Linked DNA regions of Astyanax mexicanus. The protein of the gene in region 2 interacts with the protein of the main gene of each other region in a biochemical or structural test. Links are inferred from orthologs where the notes say so. Each region holds a gene or a part of one and is shown on either strand. Other genes may lie near its edges.

Region 1 (7,595 bases), on a different chromosome or scaffold from region 2:
TGCGATACTGTAAGCAAGACATTAGATTGTGATTAACTGTCTCTCACTTTCTTCCTATCTGTCTCTCTTTATCTGTATGTCTCTCTACCTCTATTTTTCCATCTATCTTTCTCCCACTCTATATGTCTGCATTAGCTATGTCTACCAGTGTATTATCTCTGTGTCTATCTACCTGTCTGTCTCTCTCCCATACTGTCTGCCCCTTTCTATCTGTCTTTCCCACTATGTCTGTCTCTCTGTCTCTCTCTCACCCACTTACTCTACCCATGTCCGTCTGACCCTCTCCAACCATATATCTCTTCCTCTGTCTTCCAGTGTATTTATCCATCTGTCTCTCTCACATAAACTCTACCTGCCTGTCTCTCCATATGCCTCTATATTTCTGTCCCTAATTATCCATCCATCTCCCAGTGTATCTGCCTCACCCATTCTCTTCTGACTTCCAGTGTATTTATCCATTGGTCTCTCTACCTGTCTGTCTCTCCCACTCCCTCTGTTTGCCATTTTTTCTCTCTGCCTGTTTCTATCTATCCGTCTCTCTGTCTGTCCCCCATCTGTCTCTCTCTTCCTCTCTATCTGTCTAGATATCTATTTGCATGTCCCTCTTTATCTACCTCTATCTCTTTCTATTAATCCATTTGTCCCCCACTCTATCCATCTGTATCAAAATGTCTCTTTCCCATTCTCTCTCCCTACCTATCCATCGGTCTCTCTACCCGTATGTCTGTCTCTCCCAGCTATATTGTCTATTTGTCTCTCTATCTTTATCCATCTGTATCTATCCGTCTCTTTCTCCCACACTATTTTTCTAACCATCTATTCGCCTGTCCTTCTCTCTGCCTGTCTCTACCTACCCATCTGTCTGTCTCTTTCTCTGTCTGTTCCCCTATCTGACTCTCTATTTGTCATCTATCTGTCTCCCAATGTATTTAACTATCTGTCTCTCCTTCTCTATTCATGTCTACCTATTTATTTACCTATTGCCTATATTTATCTGCCCATATATCTGTCCATCTCTCTCTATTATTCTCTATTATTTGTCTATCTTTCGCTGTCTCACTATCTAACTGTCTTCCACTCTGTCAGTCTCTATCTCCCTGTCTCTCTCCATATATCAATCTGTGTCTCCATCAATCTGACTGTCTCACTGTCTGCCTATGTTTTCCACTGAATGTATCTATCTCTCTACCTCTGTCTCTCTCACCCTCCATTTGTATCTATCCTAGTGTCTCTGTATCTCTAGATGTCTTTCTCCCACTATATCTATATCCATTTGTGTCTCCCAATATCTGTCCGTCTGTTTCCCACTGTATTTATCTGTCTCGCACTCTGCCTGTTTCTCTCTATGTCCGTCTATCCATCTTTATATCTCCCACTCTGTTCATCTCTAGTTTCCCTATCTATCTATCTATCTATCTATCTATCTATCTCTCTCTTTCGCTGTCTTACTATCTAACTGTCTACCACTCTGTCAGTCTCTATCTGCCTGTCTCTCTCCATCTATCAGTCTGTCTCTCAATCAATCTGCCTGTCTCCCAGTCTGCCTATGTTTTCCACTGAAATGTATCTGTTTCTCTACCTCTGTCTCTCTCATCCTCCATTTGTATCTATCCTAATGTCTGTCTCCCACTATATCTGTATCCATGTGTGTCTCCCAATATCTGTCCGTCTGTATCTGTTTCCCCACTGTATTTATCTGTCTCGCTCTCTGTTTCTCTCTACTTATTTATTTGTCTATCCATCTTTATATCTCCCACTCTGTTCATATCTAGTTTCCCTATCTATCTGTCTGTCTGTCTATCTGTCTATCTATCTATCTATCGTAGTTGTTAGCCAGGTGTCGTTAGCACGCTGCTATGGTAGCTAGTTAGATTAGCACTGAGTTTGTGTATTCTTCAGCTAACTGCTTACTAAGCTACTAAACTTGAGCGTCTCTGAGACCTGCAGCAGGTCTCTCTGGAGTGTTTATTGGTTCAATAGGAAGCTGAGGGGTTTGTGTGTGTATAATTAAATAGAAAGAATACAGCAGTAGAGTAGAGTAGATTAGAGTAGGGTAGGTGTTACCTGCTCCGTCCGAGGCTGAAGGCAGAGCAGGTGCTGTCAGCTTGGCTCTCTTTGGGTTGGGCGGTCCGACATCCAGCATATTTTCAGCCATTTTCCTCCCAAACGATTAGAATAAGGGGTAAAGAATAAGCTCGGTCTGAGAGAGGGAGGGAAAGTTACTTTCTGTGTGTTTAGAGAAGAAGTCGGACGAGGAGGAGGGGGGGGGTTGCTATAGGCTAGCTGGGTTAGCTGGCTAGCAGCGAGGAAGGGCTTTTCAAAAAAGCAACAACAGCGCCGCGCGTCGCCACCGCCATTCACCCCATGATAATCCACCACCCAACACCCACATTATCGCCGATAAAGCGCCCCGGACAGAGCCCAGAAACCCCGTTTACTCATAGAAACCGAATTAAACACAAGACGAAGCGAATCCGCAGGATTTTCGCATGTGTGTGTTGGTGTGTGTGAGAGTGTATAAATGTGTGTGTGTCCGTCCCTCTCTCTCTCTCTCTCCCTCCCACCGGACGACGTTAAATGTGCATCACACCAAACAGACCAGCTTCTCTATAATTTAACGTCCAAAAAATCCCTGCAAAAACTAACAAAGAGGCAAACCGGCGGCCGGGTTCGCCTCAGACCCGCAGCCGCATAAAAATGCAGCGCGAGCGGATCCCCCGCGACGCCGTCCGAGCTCCGAGCTCCGAACCACCGACCGACCGACGGCTCCCCGTAAACAATACCGAGCTCCGGGCTGAGGGGAAATCCCACACAGCGCAGCAGCGCGACGCTTCTAGTCCGACGGCCGCCGCTCGATTCCCCGATTTCTTGCCGAAATCCGCGTCCGGGGCCTCGCAGGCTGCAGTAAGGCCGCCTGGCCGCGCTCCGCTCCAAAACACTAAATAGCGCCGTATCGAAATCCCCAGCCCGAGCCGCGACAAGATGGCGGCTGTTGATTCCTCAGATACAAAAAGTTTTTTTTTCTTTTTTTCCAGCGCGCGGCGGGGGGAGGGGCGATCACGCCCTACGTAACGACGGAGCGTGCGTCACAGCGGCGCAGTACAGCGCGCGCGGCGGCCGCTGGGGGCGATGCAGGACCGCGGATACGGAGAGACCGAGGCGCTCACTCTCACAACTTTACAGCTGCTGTTAGTGTTAAAATCTGTGCTCTTAACTTTTAAATTACATTTACCCTACTTTTATAAGCATTAAATATTAATTTAGTAATTTATACATTAATATATTAATAGTGCATATCTGTGTTATAAATTAAATTAGGAGAGGTGGTGAAAGAATAAACATACATTTCAAATAACAATAACTTTTTCAGATAAAAAAACAGACCATTTTTCTCTTAAATTTACAGATACGATTTGTTTACACCAGAAAATGTATGGCTCTGAACTTTTTAAATCTGAAAATCTACAGATTAGAATTTTTTAAATGTAAAATTGATGGATCTGAATTTTATGGATAAGAGCTTTTTAAATCTGAAAAATTGTAGATTTGTAGATATGAATCACTTTAGAATCCTTTTCACTTGAAAGGAGAGACCTGGAATTTGATAGATTGGAATTGATAAAATTACATTACATTACATATAGTGGATACTTTTATCCAAAGCAACTTACAAATAATTATGTACATTAGCAACAGAGGACATAGAAGAAAGAGACTAGTGGAATTTACTACGAGCAGCAACTGGGATCCAGTGGAGCTCATTGTGTAGTGGGCTGACGTGTGCCTGTTTTATCTGGTTGAAGACCCGACGTGCTGCTGCATTCTGAAGCATCTGAAGTGGTTTTACTACACAGTCCGGGAGGCCAGTTAGCATTGCAGTAGTCGAGGTGTACCAGAAAGAAGACCAGAAAAGCACTGTTGGGTGGCCTGTTGTAGTCAAACCTATCTGATGTTATAAAGCGCAAAGCTGCAGGATTGAGCAATTTTGATTTGAACCATGATAGCGCATTGTCTGAGAGTACAGAGAATAGATAGGAGAAAGTCATAATTGACTTTTTTTTTAACAGTGAAATTTATCACCTCACAGATTAAAAAAGCAAACAAAAAGTTAATTAAAAGTCAGGTGAATTGAATGCAGATTTTAAAAAACTTATCTTATAAGCTCCATAGAAAATGCAGTTAAACTGTTTAGAGTGCTTAGAGTACTTAACGTGACAGTCTGTAAGTTTTAAATGAGAATGTGTAATTGCACTGAGCATACTAAAAATACTTTTAAAATGAGTATTGTGGTGCAGTCTCTATTCAGAGTGGATCAATTCAGTGATTTTAGTGAGGACTGTGATGTGTTCTCTTTTAGCTGGCCAGATCTCTTTAGTTATAATTCTACGTTTATTTGATTTAATGATGGGTGAATGAGTCAAGTAGTTTTATTATCAATACTGTATATGTACAGGACATACAGACAATTGAAATTGCATTACTCTGCAAAACAGTGTTACAGAAAAAAAAAACTACAAATTATATAACAACTATAAACTATATAGGAATGAAATAGACACTAAAGTAGGTTAAGATAAAGACTGAATTTGTTGTTCTGATATCTTCATGTTTGCAGTAGCTCTTGTATCAGTGGTATTAGCAGCTTCCTGTCCTGAAAAGTGATGCCTTTCTGGTGGCAGACATACTTGGTGACCATGGTATTGGAGATGGTCTTCAGGACCTGGTCATGCCGCCAAAGGTAGAATATCGCTGCTCAAACTTCCTCCACAGCTAGTTTGTACCTTGTATACCAGAAGTGGCCAGATTATGCAAGGCAAAATGCAATGCTGATAAATCCAATCCAAGATATGTCAACTGTGGAGAGTCACATGTTAAGATCTTTAAATGTGGCTTGGACGGCTGATGTGTCCCTAAGACTACAGTTGTAGATCATTTCAAGGCTCCTATTTGGTTTTTCTGTGATCGGAGGAATTACAGCACCAACCAAGTGTGACAGGAACTTGTCCACTACCTTCTCTCTCCTCAGCACCCTGGACCAGGTCTTGGTTGGTTTAAAACTCATTTTCCTCAGGATATGTTATTTTTCAGGCCCAGCGGGAACCACAGCCTCCTGATTGTGTGGTGAAAGTGAACTTGTTCAGGAAGGCCCTGATTGGGGGCTGCCAGATTTGGATGCTGTCTCTGTAAAACTGTATTTTAATTAAAAGTTTTTTAGATTATACTATTACTATACTTATTAAGAGAATTAGAACTGAATAAATGTTACATAAGTGTAAACATTCCAGGAGCTGGAAAACAGTGAGGTAGCTATGTAATACAAACTGGCTATTATAATATTATAGCTACTTTATTTTGGAAATAAAATATTTACAATGATAGCATTTAAAATAAGAACTTAATTAATTTTTGGTGTAACATGTCATTACTGTCTGAATGTGTCAAAAGTATTTATTCATTACTCAGGAGTATAGATTCTAGGGTTTAAAAATACTGTTGATTTGAAGTCAAAACTCAACGTTTTAACGCAAATAAAAATGTAAAAGTACTGGTTTCAAAATTGCTTAAAGTACAATGTAAATAAATTAAAGAAGCTTAGTTGGGACATGTTTAAGTCAGCTTCATTAAGGAATAAGTTTCTGAAACTAAAATTTAGTTATTTGGAGGACGGTTATTTATGCATGGAGAAAAAAGTACAGTAAAACGTGGTGGTGGTTCATCGTGCTGTGGGGCTGTGTGATCAGTGCAGCTACTGAGAATCTTGTTAAAGTTTAGAGTCTCATGGATTTCAGTCAATATCAGCAGATTCCTGAGAACTGTGTTTAATCAGTGAGAAAGTTGAAGTTGCGCTGGGGCTGGATACTTTAACAAGACAACGACCCTAAACTCTGCTCCAAATCTACTAAAGCTTCATGCAGAGGAACAAGTACAACCGTCTGGAATGATCATCTCAGTTATGGAGGATAAATAAATAAATAAAAGCGAATGTAAATTACTCAATAAAAGTAGTATGATGATTAAAACGGTAAAGAATGATTATAATTAATATAAAAATAAAAACATATACATAAAAATAAATATCCTAATAAATTGTTATTTATAGGTTTCTTTATTAACATTGTTTATTTTTTCTTTAAATTCATTTGTTAATTTATTCACATAAATATTTATTTCTGCAATAATTTATTTCCCAGTTTATTTATTTTTGTATTTTTTTATTTTCTGATTCATCCATTTCTTTTTTCCTTGTTCTTATATGATAATGAAGGGGCTGTCCAGTAATGATGTCACGGTGTCTTAGCATTCCTATTGGTTGATTGATGTCAGATACCCTAGATTTCAGCTCCCGGACTCTTCTACTCATATCAGCTCCTCTCTCTCTGGGCTTGATTGCTAAGCCTGCATGTGAAAAAAACGCCCCTTCATTATCATATAAGGACAAGGAAAAACACACATAAATAAATCAGGAAATAAATTATTGCAAAAATGTGGGATTGATGGCGGTGAGGCGGATTGTGCGTGCCGTGAGTGGAGGCTGCCCTCCGCTGTGGACAAATGTATCTTTACACCGCTGGAATATACGGAAGGCTAAAGCTGAGTTTTTTATTAAAATAATTGAAGATGCACGGGGGAAATAAAAGATGATCTGGAAAAATCTTAATAAATGAACTGGAAGGAGTAATGATCAGAAAACAAAGGAACATGAACTTTAAATAAATGGAATCTTAATTCAGGATTATGATATGATTGCAAATATTTTAACAACGTTTTTATAAACTCAATTGATCAGCTAATCCAGAACTTCTGTCCTAAGATTATACTATCTACACCTATTAATGATGCTAGACCAATCTTTAGAATAACACAAACATCAGAATCTGCAGTATTAAACATTATAAACTCCATCAGAAATTCTAAAGCAAAGGATCCTTATGGCTTGGACACTACATTTTTAAAATGACACAAGGACATCTTAGCTAGTCCCATCACTAAATTAATTAACCAATCAATTAAGCAAGACATTTTTCAGAAGTTGGCTGTCATAACACCATCTGCAAGGCAGGTGATCGAGCAATTGTGGAGAATTATTGACCTGTTAGTATTTTACCTGTGGTTTCCAAGGTGGCTGAGAAGTGGGTGGTGGAGCAGTTGATATCTCATTTGAATCCTCTGCATTTAATGCAGTTTGTTTTCTGTTCTAACCATTTAACAGAAACAGCTATCTGCTATTTTCTTAAAAAGGTTAAATCAAAACTAGATGAAGGCGGTGTAATTAGAGCATTATTCTTGGATCTAAAACGGGCATTTGATACTTTAAATCGTGATGTACATGATGTCTAAATTATCTTATTTTAATTTTTCTATTGATTCTATTAAATGGATGAATTCATACTTATAAAACAGGAAGCAAAGGGTAAAACTGTAATACTGGTGTCCCACAAGGATCAGTATTGGGCCCTATTTTACTTAGCTTATATGTTAATGACCTGCTGTCTGTTCATCTGCAAATATACAGATGAATGCTGACAGGGCCGCCGCTCTGCATACGCAGACAACGCAGCCAGCGTTAGGCCTCAACCATTTTGCAGTTGCAGGGA
Region 2 (8,158 bases):
TGGTAGAACTTCTTAGAACCCACCTACATTCACAGTACTCTGTTTTGTAGGGGAATCAACCCAAGCACTTTACCAGTGTATGAATAGTTTTGGTTCAGATTAATACAGGTAAATTTAGTAAAAACAGTAATGGAGTGCAGCACTGTCAGTGCAAAAACATATTCTGCTGGCTCCAAAACAGCAAGAGATTCAATGGAAGTCAATGTTAAAACAGTTTATTTCAGGTTATTGGAGAATTTCTATTGGTCCATTCATCAATACGTTTTGACACAGTGTAAGAGACCATTTGTGTGTTCAAATTATGTAGTAAACTAAAATTAGACAAAAATGGAGATGCTTGTTTTTCATTGGACAGCAATAAATACTCTGCAGGCTGCAGTCACATAACCTTAATATATTCAGAATTTTGCTTAGGTTGGATTTGGCAATCTTAAAGGCCTTGATGCTTCACATTTGTGAATATTAGTTCCACAGACTACAGATCTGTCTGCAGAGTAAATCTGTTTCTGAAACAACACAAATGCACATATAAGCTTAGGCACCTCGCCTCTGTTGTTTTGCCACCCTGGTGTGGTGTTATTCTGGAAAACGTTATAGTTACTCATTAACAGAAATGACAGAAATCACAAGCATGATCTGTTGTGCCCGTACTGCTGCATGACACGTGCTTGCAAAGAGTTTGAAAAACAAGAGATGACATCCACAAAACCCTGACAAAAAAAAAAAATCTGTGGATTTGAGTCACATGAGCCTGGTTATGCGATTGTAGGCTATATGAAAAGTGATTATGTGACTCAAATCCATAGGCTTTTGAACAGTAGTGTGTACACTAGTTAGGGCTTTCAAAGATTTAAATAAACTTTTATTTTGTGTTGAGTGCTGCTACAGTGTGGATAATCATTCATATGGATATGGATTAAAGCCTTAAGGATTGTTGGCTGCAGGGTTTTTCTGAATTATCAGGCATTTTGAAACAGAGAAATGTTTACTTAAGTTGTCACAGTGATCACGTAGTTACCATTGTAATATTGTAATGCAAAATTGGCTGAAACTGAAACTTAATAAATAAACTGAAATTCTCCATTGGGTTTTTTTTTCCGTACATTGTTTTTTTTTTTTTTTTCAGAGGGCTTTGGAAAATGTGCCTAAAAGGAATCTTGTGCTTTTGTCAGAGTTCTTTGTTTGTTAAAGTGTTTTGCTTTTGCTGACAGTTCATTAGTCAAACACTTAAATAAAAAAAATATGTTCTGCTCAGGCTTTGCTGTTATGAACACTTGAGACTTGATCCTAATACATAATAGGATCTTTAGTGAAAGGGAAAAAAATTAGCCAGCAAATGCAATATTTGTGCCAAGATTGGAACTCAAAGTAAATATGTGGTCTTGTACAAATATTTGAAAGTGTGAGTAAATGTCAAGTTGTCACTAAACACTTGTGAACAGGCTTTGGCATTTCTATGAGTGCTGAGCATTTCAGAGCAGTATTCTGTATAATTTTAATATTGTATATTGTTAGTGCTTCAGCTCATTACTAATTCTACTGAGTTACATTCAGAGGAGAGAATAAATTGAATAGTAACTAAATATCTCATACTAAAAGACTAGTTTGTAAGAGAAATAAATACAAACATATAAAATAGCTGAACCACGTTCTAAACACATAAAGTGTGTAGGCTGGTAAATGGTTGGTAAATGTTTTTCTGTTCATTTTTTTAACGACTGATATTTGGAACATATTGTGGTTCATATTGAGGCGCAAGACAAAGGGGATTTCCTCACCTCACTGTGACCTGGGTTATTGTGTAGTGAATACTAGTGTGAATAATTATAGTAACTTAACACTTAGTCAGAACAGTCAGCACCTGACCACATTAGTTTATTAGAAAGGAAATGCCACTGATGAGCAGTTTGACTGATGTAAATCATGAAAAAAATCATACTATTATAATCATTTTAAAATTATGCAAAACCAGGTTCTACAAAGTATAGAAAAACATTGTATTTCTTTCCTAAATAAACCTTAATGTTTAGTTGAGTGAACCATATTCTAAAAACGTGCCTTTGCTGTAAACAGATCTATAGTACAGTTCATTTTATGAACATTGAATTCAAGGTTCTCGTTTGTCCTCACTGAGTGAATGATTGAATGTTTATCTAGAATGTTTTTATCAGTAAATCAGGGTCATCTGTTTGAAATCTGGTCAAAGTAAATTGATAATGGGTTCCAGTTCATTATAATTAGCAAGTACTTCATGTACACAAATATTACTGCAGACATTAGTTTAATTCTGTATTAATGAGAAACTTTATTAAGCTATTTTGCTATTTTTTTATGTACTTTAAAGTAATTGCTTATTATGATATGCTTCACAATACAGGGGTTACAATTCTGTATGGCACAGTATATTGCAATACTTTAAGAGCGTTTTTACACTTTTTCTAACAAAAAAAATAAAATAAAATTAGTACCACATCTGGTACCAATTTTGGGCCGGTTTGGGAGAGGAGCTCATTGCCACTGGTTTGTTTTTACTGACCGTGGACCTTGATTGCACAATTCCATACATACCTTTGCTATTAAAAACGTTGGATATTGGAAACAACTACAGTGTTTTTGGGATGCGTGGATTTTTACTGTAAAGGTGATACTCCAAACAAGCTGCCTTTATTCATGATTTTTGTCCATCAACAAGAGTTTTATGCTGTCAGTATCCTCACTGACTCCACAAAGCTGAGATTATTACAGTAATAAAGTACCACCAGTCCTCACATTGTGCTTTATTAGCCTCAAAAGCAGCTTTCACATTTGTCCTGCAGGGAAAGCACATCCAGTTCTGGAAAAAGGCCAGTGTAAAAAGTGTCATAGTTTAAAATATAAACCATATATAAGCAATCAGAACAACACTAAATGATCCACGGATGATCTGACACCAGTCTTTAGTCTTAGTGATCATTATATACTGTGTGTGTTGTGCCTACATCCTTTTTTGTTACTAGTTTAAAAGTGCTAACTTACTTCACAGCTCTTGTAAAATAACAGGACTTGAGGGTCCCCAAGTCTACTAGTATCCCCATGTCAATCGACCTGGAAGGAGCTGTGTGTTTTACATTGACCTGACCTTTCATTTACACAGTGTACCGCTAAAACCGTTTTCATAACTGATTTTACACGATACTGTGTGGCTGTTTTTCCTATATCTACTAAAGTGCACAGTTACTCATCCTTTCCAGTCAAGCCTTTCCTAGTACGCCCTGTACCCCTGCTGCCTATCTCAGAACTCCTACTCACTTTCCACTTCATTCTTCTGTCTCTATTAGTAACCGCTTATATTAAATTGAGATATTGCCTCATAAATATCATACCAGAGCAATAAGACTCTTTTAGCTGCTTTTCTCTTTCTCATTATTGCCTGATGAGTAAAAACTCTAGATTTTGACCTTTTAAAGCTTTTTATATTGTTTGTTTCAGAATGTAATTAAATTTCCGATGGCAGAAAAGCACATTACCATGTTTTTCTTTCTTTCGCTGCATCCGTCACCTGTACGGCTGTTTGGCAGCTGAATGAAGTGCTGACCTCCTGTCTCTTGTTTACCTGGTTGCGATGACCTGCTCTGCTATCGACCGAGTCGTGTCTTTTAATTTGCCTCCTTTTTTAGAAAGAGAGAGATGCAGACTGAAAGAACGTTTCTAAGGGGAAAGATGTGCGTCTGTGACAAGATAATCACACTGCTGCACACTCTTAACATAAGCAGAATATTCAGTAAATTACTTATAATCACTTCATAAGTTTAATACAATATCTTCAAACGAGTATTACACTGTAAACATAGTTTGTTCTTTTATCCCTTATGTCCTTATATCCCTTATATCCCAAGCTCTTAAATGTAATTAAAAAACGTAAAACAATCAACCAATGTTTTACTCAGCGTTTATTTAATCATTCATAGTAGTTACTGAATAGTATTGTTTGCTAAATCTGTAGTAGATGCTGTATAAGTAATGAATATTGCTGAATATTATAATAATCAGCCTCTACCATCATTAATGCTGCAAGATCTTGGTGAAAAATTAATGCAACACTGGATTGAAATAAATCTTGTGACATTGCAGAAGATTATTGAAACAATACCACAGTGAATGCATGCTGCAATCTAAGCTAACAGCGCTCCAACAAAATATTAGAGTGTGTGATTTTTTTTGTGTGTCCAGGCAGTGTTTATTCCTTGCTTTATTGCTTCATAATTTCACATGCGTGCATTTGTCCACCCTGTTTTGGCAAGCTGCATGAGAGAGTGGAATATTTTAGTGAAAACATAGTGAAAATTTTATAAAAACCTGGATGACATAGAGTTGCAGACATTTTGAACTGTTTAAAAGATACATTTTGATTTTCTAAAATTATATATATATATATAAAAAATGAGCATGATATTTTATACAGACAGGGTGAACATATTAAGCTTTACCACAAATACATTTAGAGACAATATAAGACACATTGAGCGGAAAATAGTATGCTAAATACTAAAATAAATGTGTTTTATTCATGATTTAACCATGTAAATGCACTGCAGATAAAGAAAACTGCATATAATATATTAAAAGTACTTTAAATTGAAGGTAAATATTATTATGCTTTTGTAATAATCTGTAATGAGTAAATAAGTAAAACAAATTATTGTTACATAGTGTTTGCATGATATTTAAACATATATGTTGTGAATACAAATGGCACATTATGTTGATATTGACAAAATTACATTTATAATTTCTTACAAACCTATTTCAGTATTATTTCAGTAATATGCTTATTACTTGCATATTAAACTAGGTATGAGAGACTGTGCTTGAATAAGTAGTGACTAAGAGTAAAAGAGGGAGGGGCTAGTGGAAGAGGAAGGGTAGGGGAAAGAGAAAGAGAAAAATCCCTTTCTCTTAGTCAGAGTGTGAGAGCAGCTGGTGCTGTAAGTCATGCTGCCTGTGAGTGTGTGTGTGTGTGTGTGTGTGTGTGTGTTTGTGTGGTGATGTCTAGTGAGCAGGCGCATGCTGAGGCTGCTGGTGGCAGCAGGCAGCGGCGCAGGAGCAACTCGAGACGAGGCAGTGAGCTGGAGCTGGAGCTGACCCCCAAAGTTTCCCCCATGTACCCAGAGGAGGGGGGCATCTCCTCCACTGTCCACTTCCTGGATGGAGCTTATGAGTACCACAACCCAGCCTCCGGCGTCGGATCATCCCCTGTGGGCTTTTACCCACCGCCTCCGGACCCCCAGCTGCCCCTGGCCGAAGAAACTCTTCAGTCTCTGGCCAGTGGGTCGGCCAGTCCACTGGTGTTTGTGTCCTCCAGCCCCCAGCCACCCACCTATCTGACTCACGCTGGGGGTCAGCAACAGGTGCCCTACTACCTGGAGCCTTCGGCCAGCTCTGTCTACAGGTCAGAATGACTTTAAACTATCTTTAAATGTATCATTCTGTTTCATCTCTGCAGGTCACACAGTATAAAAATGAGTGCTCATTGTTTTTAGTCATTTTGTTAAATGACAATGAATCTATATAAAGCACAACATGGCTTTTCCAGCTCTGCTGTCTTGTGTATGTTTGGTGAATTTACAATGTTTGATTCTTTGTCCTCAAGCACACCTTATTTATCTCTTGTGGTTAGTTACCACATTCAGTAGATGAGATTGAGCAGGAAAAGCAGCAACTGTGCTGGACAGCATTGATGTACAGCTACTATAAGGGCCCTTAAAAGGCTATTAGAATAAGAATTACATTAAGGATGCTAATACTATTCCTACTGATAACAAACTAAGTTCAAAATTTGTTTCAATATCCACACATAGAGCGATACAAAGTTGGTTAATATTTCTTTATGATTTGAAATAAGTGAAATGTTAGATGTGCAGTTCTGTTCTGAGGAAACATCAACAATAAAAAAAAACATTCTCTATATTTTGCCCATGTTTGTGTCATCAATAAAACACAGAAAATGAAAGTAAAGAAAGAACCTGCAAATTATAGTTATACATTCTCAATAAATTCACATTTAAGTAGGATTAGTAGTTGCTGTAACTATTAGTAGTTAAATGTATTTTAAAACAGAACAAGTGATTTGTATTTATAATAAGCAGGAAATAAAACCCACTGTGTGCATCTTCACATTCTTTGTCAGTACTACAAAGAACAGAACAAGTGACTTGTTACTCTTTTCCTGTAAATTGTGTTAATGTGTGTGGCTATGTGTGTGTGTGTGTGTATGTGTGTTAAAGACCTGAGATGAAAGATAAAGCTTCCTTACGCTTCAATTACGGCTCACTGAAGCACTGACTATCTGAGAGTCTGAATGAGCCATGTTTAGTCTGCACTCAGAAAAACAGATGTTACCTATTAAACCTACAGCATATTTACAAGAATTATTCATAGTGCATTAATTGTGGGAGGCATTCCTATTGATGCCATTATCCCTTTTTTACTAGCACTTTATTTATGTATATTCTAAATACCCCTTTTAAACAAAAAGGTTTCAGTTCTGTGTAGCACCTTAAAACGTGTTCTTAAGAGAGACTTTTTAGTTTTTTGGTGCTAAAAGTATTTTTAAAGTTCCCAGTAGAACAGCTTTTATCTTCATTAACTTTACAGAACAGCTTTTCAATGGAAAGAAACACTTCTTATAAGTATCCCAGTAGTGTATGGTCTGTACGAGCTCAGAGCTAATTTTGTTTTTAAACCTTGAGAAAAGAACTATTTGTGCAAATAACAGGAGTGCACAGAGATTATCACGTCCTCTTTGAAGGAAAAAATAAAACGACGGAGATGTTCCTTGATAAGTAGGGTTAATGGTGAATTCTGAGAAATTTAGCATATATATTTCCTTGTAATTTTTTTTTACTAGAATCCAGACACTTATTCTAATTATGTGAATGATCTACTTTAAGGTGCACACAATGCTGATACTGGTGTGCATATCGTCGCTGTCCAATAAAAAACTAGTAGCTCCATTTTTGTCGATTTTTAGTTTACTGCATAATTTGAACAGACAAATTGTCCCTTACACTGTGCCAAAATTTATTGATGAACAGACCAACAGAAATACATAAAATGTTGCAGTTTTGGAGATACTTGTTTTTCATTGAACAGCGATGATATACAGCTTGTATATAAGATTAACAGAAAAGCAATACTTGTGGGATTGGGCCCATCAGAGCAGACACACATTAATATTAAATATTAGTCATTCAACATCAGTGCTTGATCCTCAAATTCTCACAGGACTGTCACAGCCAACTATAATACTCTTGATTTCCAGAAAAATTGGATGGAAAGGGACAATTGGATTTGGACATGCAACATCTCATACAGAGTTAAAGTGTAAACATATGTTATTACAGTATTTTCTTATCAGAAAGAAAATAAACAGGATCTAGTGTACATCAAACAATGAGCCATAAAACCCAGTGAGCTGATTATGTGAGTGTTTTTCAGTGATGGTGGTCCAATCTGTCTCAGATGTTACGCAGTAGTTTGATGAACAACAGAATTAAGCTTAAAACAAACATTTACTTACACTAGAACAAGAGGTCAGAGGTGAACAGCGCCCATCTTGTGTGACCCTACTCGATGTCACGTACACAATACAGATGTGCTCAGAGTGTAGTTTAGTTGAATTACATTATCCTTTAAAAGTAAAAAAAAACAAAAAAAAAACAATTTGGCTGGTTACACATGTATGAAATAATATGTATATATGCAAAATGGACATGTATCACAAAATGAATAAGAACCTATCAAGAAAATAAAAAATGTGTCCAGAATGATGAGCTGAGCTGTACATGAACTGCATGAAAAATCTGTAGAATATCAAGAATTGAATTAACATTCAGTAAAATTACAATTAAATTACCCAAAATTGTTAACAGAATGCATTTTTTAAACTATGGTTTTGAAGCTGGAGTGTCAAACCCATTTACATAAAGGGCCATCATCTCTTCTGGAGTAGTAAGAGAGAGACAAAAAGGGGAAGAAAGAGAAAAAGTCACTAGGCATAAAAAAAACTTTCTAGAGGATTCTGAAAATCACTGCGTGTAAGCGCTGATTGTTTTCGGGGAGGGGGTTCAGAGCGCATATTGTGTTGCAGTGCATGCTGGGAATTGTAGTTAAGCATTGT
Region 3 (8,102 bases), on a different chromosome or scaffold from region 2:
TAAACTAGTAAAAATTTGCTGTTTATTAGCCTCAGTGGATCTATTACTACTGTTTTTCCAGTGTTTTTGAAGTGGGTGAGGTCAAGCTACTGTTTCATTTGTGTATAAACCTGGTCCTGAGCTGGTTCATGGTCAAGTCTGTTCTATGGACAACAGCTCTCAATTAGTGCTGTGTGCAACAAACCATTTTAAAATAAAGAAAATAAATGATGTCGTTTGTAATGGATGCAGGGTCTGAAAGGGTTAAAAAGAAAATCTTAAGGACTGCGGCTGTAGCATGGAATAGCCCAATTAGTCTAGGATTAAGCTTAATCAGGGTCAGAGAGGCTGACCTTTAGAGTATAAGAGCTTGTAAGAATATACCTTACTTTCACAACTGGCCTAAAGTTAGATTTGTGCCAAAATGAAAAGTGAATTATGCTGAAATATGGATGTTTTTTTATATTAATTGAAACACACAAAAATGAATTGAAAACTGTACACAGACACAGTACCAGTCAAGAGTTTGGACACAACTTAAATTTAGTGTTTTTTCATCATTTATTTAAAAAATAATCACACAAAAAATTGTTTACCAAACCTGGATATGTTTTATATTTTAGATTCTTCAAAGTAGCACCTCTTGCCTAGATGACAGCTTTGCACATCTTGACTGGATTTTCTTAATCAATTTTATGAGGTAGAGTCACCTGGAATTCAGGCTTTCAGTTAACAGCTGTGCTGAACTCATCAAGAGTTAATTACTTGAATTTCTTGTCTCTTAATAAAGTGTTTGAGAGCATCAGTTGTAAAGTAGTGAAGAGGTAGAGTTACAGGTATACAGTGAATAACTCTATTTGAGTAACATTCTAATCCAGATTATTAGAAGCAAGAACTACTCAACTACTTAAGTAAAGAAAAAAATACTTTTAGAAAAGAAGGTCAGTCAATCTGAAACAAAAAAAAAACGTTATACTGCAAGTTAACAGCTCCCCAGATAAGAGCACCTAAATGCTACACAGAGTATTTTGGTTTGTTTAACAGTTTTAAGTTACTACAAGATTCTATATGTGTTCTTTCATAGTTTGGATCACTTCAGTATTCATTTATAATATAGTAAAAAAAAATTAAAACAAAAACTTTGAAATATGAAGGTGTGTCCAAACCTTTGTCTGGTACAGTATATCGTCGCTGTCCAATAAAAAAAAACAAGCAGTATCTCCAAAACAGCAAATTTTCAGAAGAGAGAAAAAACCTTCCAAACTTTCAATGGAAGTCAATGTAAAAAGAGTTTATTTCAGGTCATTTTAAGTATTTCTATTGGTCCAGTGATCAAGACATTTTGGCACAGTGTAAGGCACAGTTTGACTGTACCTTACAAGACTGATTGTTTTTTGTTCATTGGACAGCAACAATATGTATGATGTCTCCCAACCTGAGGCCTTTATATTGGTGCCTTATTTAGTTTCCGTTCAGCTTGTTCAGATGTATTTCCTGAAACATTACATGCAGCATTTAATATATATATATATATATATATATATATGTAATAATAATTTAATACATACTAAGCTTGACAATTTTATCTATGTTCTATAACCCTGTGTCTGTGTTTGTGTGTAGTACTGTACTTATATAAGTGTTGGTAACTTTTCACTTTTCACTGCCAGGATTGACTCTGTCCAACTGGATGTGTTTTTGTATTGTATGCACTCATAACTCATAATACTGTAGTATTGAATAGCCATCAAATGTATCACATAATTTAATGTTAATAACTAAAGTGATCTGGACTGATTGCAGTATTTTATGTGGACTCATTTTCTTAAATGTCAATGAAAAGTATTGTATTATATTATATTGTTCATATAAGTTCATAACAGCTTTATCAGCTTTGCTGTTGAGTTGAGAGAGTTGAAGTCTGTTCAGTGATTGTGATAATAATAAACTATAACCACATTAACTCCTTTGTTCTGTTTTTGGGTATTAGGATTATTTATTGTAACAAATGAAATCTTTTTCCTAGGTTTAATCCAGACTCTTGGTTACGTAAGAGCAGCTGCTCTACCTGGATCAGAGCTCTTTTGGGCGGACTGATGGTTAAAGGGATTAATTCAAATCCACTTACCCTCATGTTTCTACCTTCGCTTTCTGTTTCAGGTTTGACCGTACAGTTAAATTCATAAGTATTTTTACAATATGTGTATTTTTTATTAATATAATTTATATATAGCCAATAACCCTACCCACTCATAAGGACTCCCCCATCACTAGTGATGCCCCAAAACACCAGGAGGGGGATGCCTCCTTCGATCCATGTGAAGTCAGACTCCGCCTCTTTTTAAACAGCTGATGATGCAGCATTACCGAGTAGCATCACAGCGCGTTTAGAGGAAAGCGCAGTGACGTGGTTCTGATACATCAGCTCACAGACGCCTTGTGCTGATCCACATCACCCTAGTAGTGATGAGGGGAAAGAGTGCCATCTACTGTTCCCACCCAAAGAGAGCAAGACCAATTGTGCTCTCTCAGGGCTCTGGCAGCTGATGGCAAGCTGCATGACTTGAAGTGTGTGTAATTTGAATGCAGACTTAATACAAATATTGTAGTAAAAGATTGAGGAGATTAATGTTAAATACATGCCAAAAATCATGGGATAGCAGTATTAATTATATGTGACATGTACATCCAAGTGTATAAATTGAAGTGTTATCTCAGGGCATGGTTTGGAAACAAAAGCCCAAACCCTTATAAGTTGTGAGGTGATATCTTGTGAGTGAGGTTGAATAAACAGGGGCTAACATGCTCATGGCAAGGCAATGATAATTATTGTAGTTCAAGGCAGATCCGATAATAGGTGCAGATGGATGGGGCATTTCACTTCCATAGTATAAAGATAAGAGCATTGAACATTCCTCAATCCACACTGTCAAACATGTACCAGGAATGTGCACTGTTATCCATATTCTTTTCTTATTCGACTCACCCTCAGTGTGTAGTGAGTCCCGCCACGATGCCTTAGATAAACGTGTAAATCTGGAGAAACATGTTTTTTTTTTACTAAAGGCATGAAGTGAAACACATATCCACCAAACATGTTTTGGTGGATATGATTAAAAATATAGTGCAACATTTGTGTAACTTTATTGTTAAGATATGTTTGCAAGACAATTTTAAAATTGTAGTAAAAAATAACAAAATTTTGCATCTTGCACGCATTTGCACTTCTACCCTGCGTTTTAAAGTTAAAGTAGCACATAATTTTCTAAAATGAGTAAATTTAAAAAATAAAAAATGATTTTTTTTTCAGGTTTAACTTAAAAAAACAAACAAAAATAACTGTATAACATTTACAAGAAAGTTTTTTTAAAGTGCAGGTTAACATTGCTCTTTATTGTAAGAATATGTACATTCAGACTAAATGTTGAAAAATATATTGTTACACAGAGTATAGATCGATACTTTATTTATTCCTGTAGGAATTTCATAAAAAGGAAATTAGGAATTAAGAGTTTGTATGAAATGTAAACCCATAGGTGGCAATTATCTACTTTCTCATGTACAATTCGGGAAACATGATTTCCTTTTTTTGTTTATAGAATAATTCTGCATGTGTTCCTGTATAGCTATAGCTTATATTCTGAATATTCAATTCTAGTTTTTTATTTGGAAAATGAAAATTTTCTGACAAGTTTTCTGATCATTTGTAGGCTGACGCTCCTGTGTGGTCACGTGGTCTCCGCCGTTATTTCATGCGGGAAGCAGCTCGTAGTGTTCGATTCAGTTAATCGAATCGGTTCTATTAAAGGGTTCATTTTATCGAATCGAAAGTGCCAATCAACAAGTCATTCAGTCACAAATCATATGAGCTTTTAATTTCGTGTAGAGATAGAAGAGATTTTCACACAGCATTAGCTCACTTTCTCTGTTCACTGCTTTCACTTACTAGTGAACTAGAGATTTGACTCTCACAGAGACAGAATCGATTCAGAATCGATTGTTTAAAGGTTAGTCTATCTATATATCTATCTATCTATCTATCTATCTATCTATCTATCTATCTATCTATCTATCTATCTATCTATCTAGTCTGATAAATGTATCTAAAGCGTGTCTATTACAAAGCAATAATTTATATTATTAAATTATGTATTAATCATTGCTTTTAAGATATAATAAAACAGATAATGAAACAACAACAACAACAATAATAATAATAATAATAATAATAATAATAATAATAATAATAATAATAATAATAATACATTTAAAGGGACCATCTGTAAGATTTGGGGATTTAGAGACCTCTCTGATGAGAGAATGTGTGGAAAAGTCCTTTAAATTCAGGTTACTGTAAATGTTGTGTAACCCTTTTTTTAAATTAAATATTTTTGTTCATTTATAAAATACTGTCAGACTGCAAGCAATTACAGCCTAAAAACAAACCAACCAGACCACTTGATTCTGTTTTTAGAATGATACCAACTAATTTGAATATTTTGTCCCAAATTTCACAAGGGACAGCTGCTTTAATGAATCAATGGACTTTTACAATCAATGGAAATTTTACACACTATTTCACACACTAACTGGGAAAAAATAGACTATAACTTGGATTGTTGCGTAGATTTTTCTATCCCAAATGTATCAACATTAATATAACATTAATATAACATTATAGTCATTATGGCTTTAAGAAAAAATGTGTTTTGGGAGGGGGTGGTGCACTATAGGATCCTGTGGTTTGGCCTAAGATTTTATCCTTAATAGCCTTATTTTTCCCTTTACTTTTTTTATTACTTTTACTTTTATACATTAAGTAGTTTTGAAACCAGTACATTTACTTTTGAGTAAAAAGCTTGAGCTGATTTCAACTTAAAATTCTACAGAAGTTTTTTAAACACTAGTATCTATAATTTTATCTGAGTAACGAATGTGAATTTTCACACCTTGTTGCGTATCGGTTCGCACAATGTGTTCACAAGAAACGATTCGAATGAACCGATTCGCGCACGATCCGGGCCTCGCTCGCTGTTTGCTCGCGCTGGCTCCGCCGCCGCCTGCCTGCAGTCTCGAATCGCACAGCGGGCGTAGCGGAGCGTCACTGAAGTGGAGTGATTTTCGCTGCAACTTTTTGTTGTTTTTACTCACTTTTATCGCACCAGAAGAGCTTTTTCTAGTGCGGACGGCTCGTGCTGGGTGTTGTGAGACACCGAAACTCGTCGTTTCTGCTGTTTGGAGAGTCGTGGCTGTGCTGCGGGGAGTGTATGTGTGAGTGCGGGTGTGAGTGAAGGCAGCTCGGTTCAACAATGGCGACGGCGGCTGCGGTGTCTGGTCCTGCCGGCGGAGGCGGCACTAACCCCGGCTCTGGGGCCGAGCTTGTCCGCGGGCAGGCCTTCGACGTGGGGCCACGATACACCAACCTCTCCTATATTGGGGAGGGCGCTTATGGCATGGTCTGGTAAGTTTTTTTCACCTTAATACTCATTTTTATATTATATTTAGCCCTCGAACACACAAACAAATAACTTACATACACAGTTACATAGCTACTTTTTCTTTCATTTTAAATTGATTAAATATAGTTTAATAAGCAAAATCCATCAGTGTAACATTTAGCAGTTTATTTTTCTGACTGTATCAAGCTTAAATCGCAAATTCAAAAAATAGGGTATAAAACTTTATACTTTTTCCATTTACTATAGTGAAGATGAAATGGTAATTCATTCAGTTATTAAGTTTTTCATATCTGCCTTTCGCGAACAGAATTTCAAGAAAAATGAAAAGTTTTCTACTTTTGATTTTCAGATTTGTCTATTTTTGTGTCTTGTATCACATATCCGATGTTATAATCCACTTGCAAAATGCAAAAATCTAAAAATCAGAAAAATTTCCTGTAATTCCGATTGTAAGGGAAAGTGATGAAAAAACTAAAACTTGAAAAATGGATAAAACTTATTTCTTGAGCACTGAACTACATAAAAAAATATGTTTTTACATTCAATTTTCTAATTTTGAATTTAGCCTCAAACGGTCAGAAAATTAAACTGCTAAATGTTATAATGACCAAAAACCTGCCCTACATTTATTTAATCAGTGCAGTGTTTAAAGGAGAAATCTTGTGTGAAATGGACTTGGTTTGTAGTGAAACTTGAAAACATGAAAAGTACAAACTTTTGTTGAATAGCCCTCTTTCTCACTTTTAGCTGATGCTCCCAACTAACAGGCTTACTGGCTTACACTGCTGTACAGTGAGGGGGCATATAGTAGGCCATGCAAACAAATTAAAATCATAATTACCAACATTACAAAGCTCAAAGTAGCTCTACATTTCATTGGGAGAATTTCAAGCGTCCTAACAGTTAAAAATAGTCAAAAAATGAGGCTTTAAAAATGCACATTTAGTTTATTAAAAAGACTTTTTATTATACACATAGTACCTTCAGGTACTTCTCTGGGTGCTGGCATCTTGAAATCAAGAAGTGATAAGTCGACTGATGAGCATGAATCGGTAGGATAGGGTGACAGATTGCAAAATTAATTCTGTGCTATTTTTTCAATATTATAGAGATATTCATGCATTTCCACATGCATGTTGATTTTGCATTCTTGCATAGGCAACTCTGTGCCCCTATCACTAGCATTGTAAGCCTGTTGGGAGCATCGGCTAAAAGTGCTTTATTTCAGAATGATGGTGGTGAATGGAGGTGGAATATTTAACAAAAGTTTCTATTTATTATCAAGGATCACTACAAATCAAATTTATTTCACACAAGATTTCTCCTTAAAGATTTGTTTAAGCACTGCTAACTAGCACTAGCTACTAGTGCAACTGGATTATTATTAGTACCAGCAGCATTGTCCTTACAAGTTGGTAGAGTGTGAAAGAAAATAAAAAAAAGATAAAATAAGGACAAAAACTAAAACAGTTTCTCTTGATAATTCACTCCCTATCCTATATATATATATATATTGTTCTGAGTGGTTGCATTACAAACCCTGGATGTAGGATAGGGAGTGAATTTTTTTTATATTTATTTTATTTTATTTTTTTATATATGATATATATATATATATATATATATATATATATATATATATATATATATATATAGCATATGATTTGTCATATTTCAGTTGATTTTTTTTTAAGGATTTTGATGTTTAATTGTCAGTTAAAACATTTGAGAAGCAACCACTTCTTTAGCATGATTGCAGTTTTGTCTAACTGCATATTGTTTCCATGATTCAACAAATTAAAAAGCACTAAGAAAATAGCCAAAATAGGCTTAACAGCCAAATATTCATCTTTATATGTAATAAAATGAAGGGACTGTGCAATAACAAAAACACTTATTTTCAAGAAACATTGTCTTATATACTAAACAAATTAGCAATTTACCTTACCGATTCACTCTTCTGTACCTCTAGGTTTTACAATTTTAGATCATATAACTCATTACATGTCCTTAGCCTATACAATATAGGCCTGCCAAGTAATTTTGTGGACAATATATCATCACATAAATTATTGCGAAATTAAATTATTGCATAATAAATGCCACTGACACAATGATAATAGCATATAACAGAATAACAAAGGAATTATATCCTTTTTATAAAAAACACAAATTTTAATTAATCATAATTATGGTGAAATATGTACTTTTTCATTCATCCAGTTATTAAAGTGTTGGTAACTACATGACAAACAAACAAACATACAAATACAAACACAATAGACAATAGACACAGTGGGTAATGTCCATTTATTGCACGATAAGTCAGTAATGTAATGTATACATATAGTACATGTGCACGTAAATTGAAATAATGCCTATAAGACTAGCTGTGTATTCTGTTGTTTCCACTTTTTAACAAATATGAACAAATTTGCAACATTTAATATTAAACTGTTGTACTTGTATTTTAATACACTCCTTTATAGTGCTGTTGAATGGCTTGAACAGGCTCTGATTGAAACTGGGACATGGCAGGGTGGCATAACTTCGAATAATGAAATGGGTCAGGTATACTTGGTCAACTTGACCTAACCCAGGCTGAAAGCATGTAGCACCAGCTCCTGAGTTACTGAGTGGTGTGACTGATATCAGCCTGCATCC
Region 4 (7,963 bases), on a different chromosome or scaffold from region 2:
ATATATCAAAGATGATGTAAAGTGTCACACAGGTGGTTTTACTGTCCGATAACCAGCGAGGAATATCGTGTTTATTCCCGTGAAGAACTGCTGGCCCTTCGACCCGCGGGACGTGGGGGCATTGTCCACTCAATACCGGGGGAACTAAGGAGGAATTACCGAGGCTGTAGGGCCGGAGCTAAGCTAAAGGCTAAGCTAAAGGCTAAGAGTACGGAGAAGCGCTGGAGGTACAAACCCTCAGTTCCGTCGGTGGTTATGGGGAATGTCAACTCACTGACCAACAAAACCGACGAGCTAGCGTGTCTGGTGAAGAATCAGAAGCTCTACAGGGAGTGTAGCGTGCTGTGTTTCACCGAGACCTGGCTCACCCCCAACACGCCGGATGCTAACGTGGAGCTACATGTAAACGTGAAGGAGGTGATCTGCTGTCGGGATATTGAACTGTTAGCGGTGAGTCTCCGACCTTATTACATGCCGCGGGAGCTCTCTCATGCGATCCTCGTCTGTGTTTACATTCAGCCGAGAGCGGACGTACAGGCGGCGTGTGACGTCATCCACTCCACCGTCGCAGCGCTGCAGACACAGCACCCTGACGCCTTCTATAAGGCGTATTTTGAACATGGTCTGACATTGCAAGCCTTGTGCAGTCAGCAAAAACTGTTCTACAATTCAACGGAAAATTTTGCAGAGCCATGATTGCACTGACCTAAAGGCAGGGTAAACACTATGGATATAAAATGGCGGGGGTTACATTATGTGAAATAGGGGGTACATCATAGACACATGATTACAACGTTTCAGTTATGTGGACCTTGCGTGCAGAGTGTGTATGAGTATGTATGGGGCTATGTCACGGTACGTAGACACTGCGTTGTAACCCACGTAAGCGTCTTATGAATATGGAATACAATACGTTGCATGACATCATGTGTTGTCAGGCTGCCTTATTACAATGCAAATGTATGCATAGGCGCGTTTACCGATTGGATGTTAGATGCCAAAACGTGTATACACGAACAGTTTTACCGCCTGTACACGTGATTTTTTTACGTGTGGACACGTCATATTTTTACGCGTGGAGGCGTTTCTTTCCCACACGTTTTGGCTTAGTTGGCTTGCCATATCTATGTGATTACTGGTGATTTTAATCACGTAACGCTGGACTCTACACTGCCTGCCTTTTTCCAGTTTGTGGACTGTCCCACCAGGAAGAACAGAACCATAGACTTGCTGTATGCTAATGTGAGGGATGCATACAGGGCTATTCCACTACCACCGCTGGGGAGATCAGATCACAACCTGGTCTTCCTACAGCCTCAGTACAAACCACTGGTACTGAGGCAGCCCACTACCACACGCTCATTCAGAGTCTGGTCTCCTGAAGCAGAGGAAGCCCTAAGGGACTGCTATGACACCACTGACTGGAGCGTGCTGCTGCACCCACATGGCGAGGACATTGAGGGGCTGACTCACTGTGTTACAGACTACTTGAATTACTGTATGGATGTTGCTGTTCCCACAAAGACTGTACGCTGCTTTCCAAACAACAAACCTTGGATTACCAGCACCGTCAAGGACCTCCTCAACCAAAAGAAGAGGGCGTTCAAAGATGGAAACCTGGTAGAGCTGAAGCGCGTACAGGGGGAACTCAAGGTACGTCTTAAAGAGGCCAAGGAGTCTTACAGGAAAAAGGTGGAAAGAAAGCTGCAAGATAACAACACAAAGGAAGTCTGGGGTGCGATGAAAACCATCACTGGGTGCAAGAACAACAGCGGCAACCCAGCAGATGGGGGTGTGGACAGAGCAAACCAGTTTAACAACTTTTACAACAGGTTTGACTGTCCTGCTCCTGCTGCCCCCTCCTTCTACCCCCCTGCATCTTTACCATCATCTCCATCTCCACCGCCACCACCATCATCATCTCCATCTCCACCATCTTCATCATCATCATCACCACCATTACCCTCTCCTCCATCTTCACCACCACCACCACCAACCTCATCACCTCCATCATCATCTTCATCACCCTCACCTCCACCATCTTCATCACCACCATCACCCTCACCCCAACCATCTTCTTCATCATCATCATCACCACCAGCACCCTCACCCCCACCATCTTCTTCATCATCATCGTCACCACCATCAACACTATCAGCTAGCAGACAAATCAGCTCCTCCAGTCCACCAACCTTTACTGCAGACCAAGTCAGGAGACAGCTGAGGAGACTTCACCCCAGGAAGGCAGCTGGCCCGGACAGAGTGTGCCCCAGAATGCTCAAGGCTTGTGCTGTTCAACTGGGTGAGCCCCTCCAACATGTGTTTAACCTGAGTCTGCGTCTAGGGAGAGTTCCTGCCACGTGGAAGACAACCTGCCTCGTTCCAGTTCCTAAGAAGGCACACCCGAAGGAGCTGAATGACTACAGGCCAGTTGCTTTGAACCATCTACAGCTGAACATCTCCAAAACCAAGGAGATGTGCATAGACTTCAGAAGGTCCAGGCCCTCTGCTCAGCAGCCAATCTCCATCGAGGGGGTCAATGTGGAAGTGGTCAAGTCCTACAGATACCTTGGTGTGCACCTGGACGATAGGCTGGACTGGTCAGTGAACACTGACTCCCTCTACAGGAAGGCCCAGAGCAGACTGTACTTCCTCAGAAGGCTTGGGTCCTTTAACATCTGCCAGAAACTCCTGCTGATGTTCTACCAGTCTGTGGTAGCCAGCGTCCTCTTTTACGCTGTAGTGTGCTGGGGAGGCAGCATCAGCAAGAGGGACGCTGGACGACTGAACAGGCTGGTGAGGAAAGCTGGTTCTGTGTTGGGACTAGAGCTGGAGTCCTTAACACCACTGGCAGAGAGGAGAGCCCTCAGCAAGCTGCTGAACATCATGGACAATGTTCACCACCCTCTGCACAGCACCATCACCAGGCAGAGGAGCTCATTCAGCGGCAGACTGCTGTCCCAGTCCTGCTCCACAGACAGACTTCGAAAGTCTTTTGTCCCTCAGGCCATAAGACTTTTCAACTCATCTCAGCACAGCAAACTGAAGACTCTGTGACACCTTTTCTTTCCAGCAATTCTGTCCACACCATGGACATACCCCCATCTATGGTCACACTATCTTGCTGATGCCCATAACACTATTTTTATAGTTCTACCCTATTTTGCACTAGTAGTTCATTCACTAGTTCATTCATCTACTGTTTACGTATCATTTGCACTGCTAAATTTAAATTATTATATAACTGTGTTTGCACTTTCTGTATGGCGGACATCAGTTATCCTTATCCTTACTTTATGCACATCAACTGGTGTTCGCTGTCTATTGTGTTCAACTGCACTACCTCCATTTTACATCACACACACACACTAAAGACTGTATTTTTTTTATCTTTTTGTAACTTTGTGTACTATACACACCTGCTGCTGGATGTCTATCTATCTATCTATCTATCTATCTATCTATCTATCTATCTATCTATCTATCTATCTATCTATCTTTCTTTCTTTCTTTCTTTCTTTCTTTCTTTCTTTCTTGCTTGGATATGTTTTTCCAGTCCAGCTGCTCTCTCTTCCTCTCCCGTTCTCTCACTCTTCTCCCAAAAAAGCTCCTAGCCCCGCCCACTACTTAGACTTTTGACTGACAAGCAGATAAACTAATCACCTTGCAGCAACTAAAAAGATATCTCAACAGAAATTACTGAATTAAAATGTGAGCACAAATAAACTATTGTAAAAATGAATGAACTTGATGATTTAAATGAAGTTTTAATATAATTTCCTTGAAATCTCTTTTTAAATAACTGAAAAATTAAACAAGGCTACATAATAGACCAGTGCAGCCATGTTGTCAGTTTGTAGTTAGGTCCCCTTTCTACACTGCTTTTTTCTTTGGGCAAAATAAATGTGGTTTTCAAAAGCTCGCCTCTATCACATTCTGTGGTAAATAAATATGTTCAGAACCCTGTACGTTTCATTCTGTGTACATCACTGGATCCTCTGAATTATGAAATCGATTAAGTAATAAGAAAAATGCTAACTTTAAGCTCATGCTACAGCGCACTGAATTGATGGCACAGGCAGAGATATGACACCAGCAAACTCCGGATAGGTCATGTTTTTTATTATTATCCTCACAGGGAATCATTGATTAGTTTGATTTGATTAGTGCTCATACCAATATGATAGCACATAGAACATTCATCTGTTTCTCTAATCAAGCATCCTAATACCACAGCAGCTACACTGGAAAAGCATGGCACAGTGTTTAAAGAATGTTTCTGGAGTAACACTGTGCTGCTTGTTTTAGTGATTTTCTGCTGTAATCCTACCAGCTCACCTCAGAGAGGGTAGTTAGTTCATTAATTGGATCAGCTGTAATATGCTGTAAAAATAGGACTGGAGTTTGCTGGCGTTGCACTAAACTGAGAAAGCACTCTGCTGCTGTGCTGTGACGTCGGTTCAGTGCGCTGTAGCATTAGCTTTAAGCTAGCATTTTTCTAATAATGACTTATAAACGATCTCGTAATTGAGAGGATCCAGTGTTTTTCTGGAGAATTATGTACTCAGAATAAAACATACAAGGTTCTAAACATATTTATTTACCAAGGAATGTGATAGAGGCAAGTTTTTGAAAACCGTACGAGGACTACAGAATGACACATAACTGCAGTGGCCTATATTTTATGTTAAATGCTGAAGGGGAAACGCCCCCTACAGATATAATGCCCATGGTGTAATTACACAGAGCATGTTTAAAGAAAAAATATTGTATTTTATTATGTAATGTAATATTATATTATGTCCAGGTCATTATTTCTTCGTGTGTTTGTTGGAGTCTAGAAAACACAAGCCTACAGAGCGGTATAGACAAAGATACATTATCGGTACTGTGCTGCCCCCTGCAGTTCAGTGTATGTGGGACACTGTGGGGGTACTGTGGCTGCGCTGCCGCAGTGTTTAGGCCGGCCTGCGGGGGCAACACTGAGACCGTGCAGAGTCAGGCGGAGGGAACAAAGGAGCGCGGGTGAGTGTTTAAAGCGCCCAATATTTCTAAAATTAATCTTTAAAACTGGCAATTAAAGTTCGGATCGCCCTTCATATTGTGTGTTATGAGCCTTAGATCACGAGCCCGGCTGTTCGGGTCGGTAATGTTGGGTTATCTGTCGCCGGTTTCTGACTGTTAGGGTTTGGCTGCGATAGCGGAGCTTCATCGCATTCAACCGATTATTAACCTCACCGCGCTGCTGTTTTACTCCAGCTTTTTAGCTTTTACCAGAATGTATCCAGACAGTTTACGCAGTTTAGGAAAATAAGTGTAGAGACCGCTTTGTAAGTGTGATTTATGATCATGAGGGGTAATGTAGGTTAACGAGTTATATTTGTTGTAATTCTGACTATGAAAGGGTTGCCGTAGCTGCTAAAGGCTGGGCTCACAGATGGATATCCTCAGTCCGGGCTAAAGATAAAATTAGTATTTTAATTTTAGAGATTAATTAACTCCAATCACCCGACGTGTTTTCTATTATATAGAGTTACTTTATTATTAGTGAAAATCAGCCCACATTAGCTCTCACTGCCGAAGCTAAATTTAGCTAGCCTAAGGTAGATTAGTTTATTTGAATTGTTCGTTCCACCTTAAATGGTTACAGCAGGTTAGGGCAGCTCTCAAGCCCCGCTGTAACTGCTGCACAATTTAAGGTGGCACAAACAATTCAGACAAGCCAACTTCAGCTGCAGGCTAACACGCGCTAACGTGGACTATAACATTTCTTTTAACACTTTAATGTTTACTCACGTAGCCTTAATTACTTATCTCCGGTTTTTAATCTAATTTTAGCTACTGTATTACAATCCTAAACATGCTTAACCTCGCTAGCTAGCTTGCGTGTTTTTTTAGCAACGTTTATTTCTTTTATTCCGGTTTAGCTTAGCACAGGGTGCTAATCTGCTAATGCTAGGTAACTTGCTAACTGGCCCGAATGCTCGCACTTCTAGCTACAGATCGCATCGAGTTATTGTTTTGGGAGAGTTATTATTGCATCTCTGTTGTTACAAAATACACTTTAAACGTTACAATAGTTAAATATAACGTTTATGCCATTAGATTCGTTTGGTCAGTTAAAATAGTATGGTAGCTATATTCTAATAATGTTTATGTTGTTTAGTAGTCCAGGAGCTTGTATTGTTATAGTAAATCGTATAATCTCTATTCACATGAAATTGTTCAGGCAGATATAGTCATTTAGGGATGTTTTAATGTGCCATATGGGACTGAAAGCGTGCCTCTATGTCTAATCCATCTTTACCCTATTGTAGAACCGTGATGGAGTTAGCCTGATATCCTCAATCCTGCAAACAAGATGTCAAGTAAGAGCTCTAATTTTATCTGAAGGTCATCTGTAACCCTTGTCTGAGACCACCTGTATAATGCTTTGCTGTTATGAATGTTGTCTTAAGGCCCTGTATGTGAACCTCTGAACCGTGCAGCCTTTCTATGCCATTTGCAGGAACGGCTTGTTTAAAGGGGAACTTAGCCAGCCATTTAGAATTGTGTAATTCATTGTGTTTGATGAATTCATTTGTAGTGGGGTCTTGGTGTAAAATTGTGGCTTATTCTAAGCAAATTTACTCACTGATTCACCATAACTACAATACAAATGTAGCCATTTTATTTTCTATCCAAGCCCACCAATGAATGTGTATGTTTTTCTCAGAACAGTGTTCCATGCAAGTTTCTTTAGATTGGAGCATTTTACACCAAGCCGACTCCGAACGTCTTTGTTCACGTCATACCTGTTTAACTACACAGATAATTTAGGAAATTGATGGGATAACCCTGTGAGTGATGTGTAGAAGTGATGTGAGTAAGATTCAACTGAAGCGGATGCGAGGTATAAGTAGGTTTTAGTACTGCTTCGATAAATGGCAAACGTCTCATTGTAATGGAATAATGTCTGCCCTCTGTGTGATTTTTCTCTTACAGAGCGGCCCTCGTACGCCCCTCCCCCCGCCCCGGCCCCCACCACAGTAAGTGTTCCACCACACCATCCATAAATGACCACATCACCCACACCAAACCTTAAGACCCCTGGAAGTGTGGAAAGGACTGCGGGATGATGATGATGATGATGATGATGATGATTCTTCCATGGGGTGGCTCAGTAGTACATGTTCCAGATGTTACAGAATATCCAGCTTATGCTGAGTTTTTTTATTTTTTATTTTTTATTTTAAAACCATCTCATTGAATTTAAAGCCCCCCCTTCCCCCATAGTGTGTGTGGCTTGGCTTTGAGTGGGTGTAAAACAATGCCAGGTTGTGCTGCTGTCAGATTGCTGCTTTTTGCATGTCTTATGCAAATCATGACCAAAAAAAGCAAAAACAAATCTTCCTTTTTTCTTTTTTTTGTCCCTTCCTCCCTTGTTTGTGTCATTTCTCATTCGTGTTTTGTCTCATTTGTCTCCATCAGCAAATGCCCACCACCCCTGGGTTTGTGGGGTACAACCCATACAGCCATCTGGCCTACAACAACTACAGGCTGGGAGGGAACCCCGGCGGGAACAACAGGGTAATGGTAGGACAAAAGGAAAAAGCAAAACTGCGTAGCTGCAGCAGAGGAGCTAGAACCCCAGAGCAGAACTGCCCGAGCTGACAACCTGGGCTGTAACCCAAAAGTCGTGCTATTTTACTCTAGTCTGTTTTACTACTTTTAGTTTGGAACATGGGCTTCTTATATTAGGGGGCGGAGCAAGGAGAGACTTGATATCATGGGTAGCTGATGTAGATCTTAGATGCTTCTGTACTGTCCTCTTCCTCACTCCTTTTGTAAACCACTTGGCCCACTCTGTCCACTCTGATTTTAAGTTACAGGTTTCCAGTGTTAGGACATCACCCTCCTCATTAGTTTGCATGAGTGCTATGCCCTTCAGCTTGCTTGGCTTCTAAACATAAATGGCTATTTA

The links.
Region 1: the proteins of esr1 (region 2) and crebbpa form a complex in vitro, tested with the Homo sapiens proteins (2 studies listed by BioGRID). The link is inferred for Astyanax mexicanus from reciprocal best matches to the Homo sapiens genes ESR1 and CREBBP.
Region 3: of the proteins of esr1 (region 2) and mapk1, one has a biochemical effect on the other in vitro, tested with the Homo sapiens proteins (3 studies listed by BioGRID, with this or other methods). The link is inferred for Astyanax mexicanus from reciprocal best matches to the Homo sapiens genes ESR1 and MAPK1.
Region 4: the proteins of esr1 (region 2) and smarce1 form a complex in vitro, tested with the Homo sapiens proteins (3 studies listed by BioGRID). The link is inferred for Astyanax mexicanus from reciprocal best matches to the Homo sapiens genes ESR1 and SMARCE1.

The regions. Positions count from the first base shown.
Region 1 is NW_026040046.1:1,676,142-1,683,736, reverse strand, and holds the start of crebbpa (CREB-binding protein), read right to left. Parts: upstream 3,014-7,595; 5' UTR 2,156-3,013; coding exon 2,065-2,155; intron 1-2,064. UniProt on the Homo sapiens protein: Acetylates histones, giving a specific tag for transcriptional activation. Mediates acetylation of histone H3 at 'Lys-18' and 'Lys-27' (H3K18ac and H3K27ac, respectively).
Region 2 is NC_064408.1:79,147,594-79,155,751, forward strand, and holds the start of esr1 (estrogen receptor), read left to right. Parts: upstream 1-4,965; 5' UTR 4,966-5,024; coding exon 5,025-5,428; intron 5,429-8,158.
Region 3 is NC_064429.1:30,990,910-30,999,011, forward strand, and holds the start of mapk1 (mitogen-activated protein kinase 1), read left to right. Parts: upstream 1-5,038; 5' UTR 5,039-5,288; coding exon 5,289-5,440; intron 5,441-8,102. UniProt on the Homo sapiens protein: Serine/threonine kinase which acts as an essential component of the MAP kinase signal transduction pathway. MAPK1/ERK2 and MAPK3/ERK1 are the 2 MAPKs which play an important role in the MAPK/ERK cascade.
Region 4 is NC_064426.1:13,043,670-13,051,632, forward strand, and holds the start of smarce1 (SWI/SNF-related matrix-associated actin-dependent regulator of chromatin subfamily E member 1), read left to right. Parts: upstream 1-4,913; 5' UTR 4,914-5,025; intron 5,026-6,317; 5' UTR 6,318-6,361; coding exon 6,362-6,368; intron 6,369-6,984; coding exon 6,985-7,028; intron 7,029-7,470; coding exon 7,471-7,575; intron 7,576-7,963. UniProt on the Homo sapiens protein: Involved in transcriptional activation and repression of select genes by chromatin remodeling (alteration of DNA-nucleosome topology).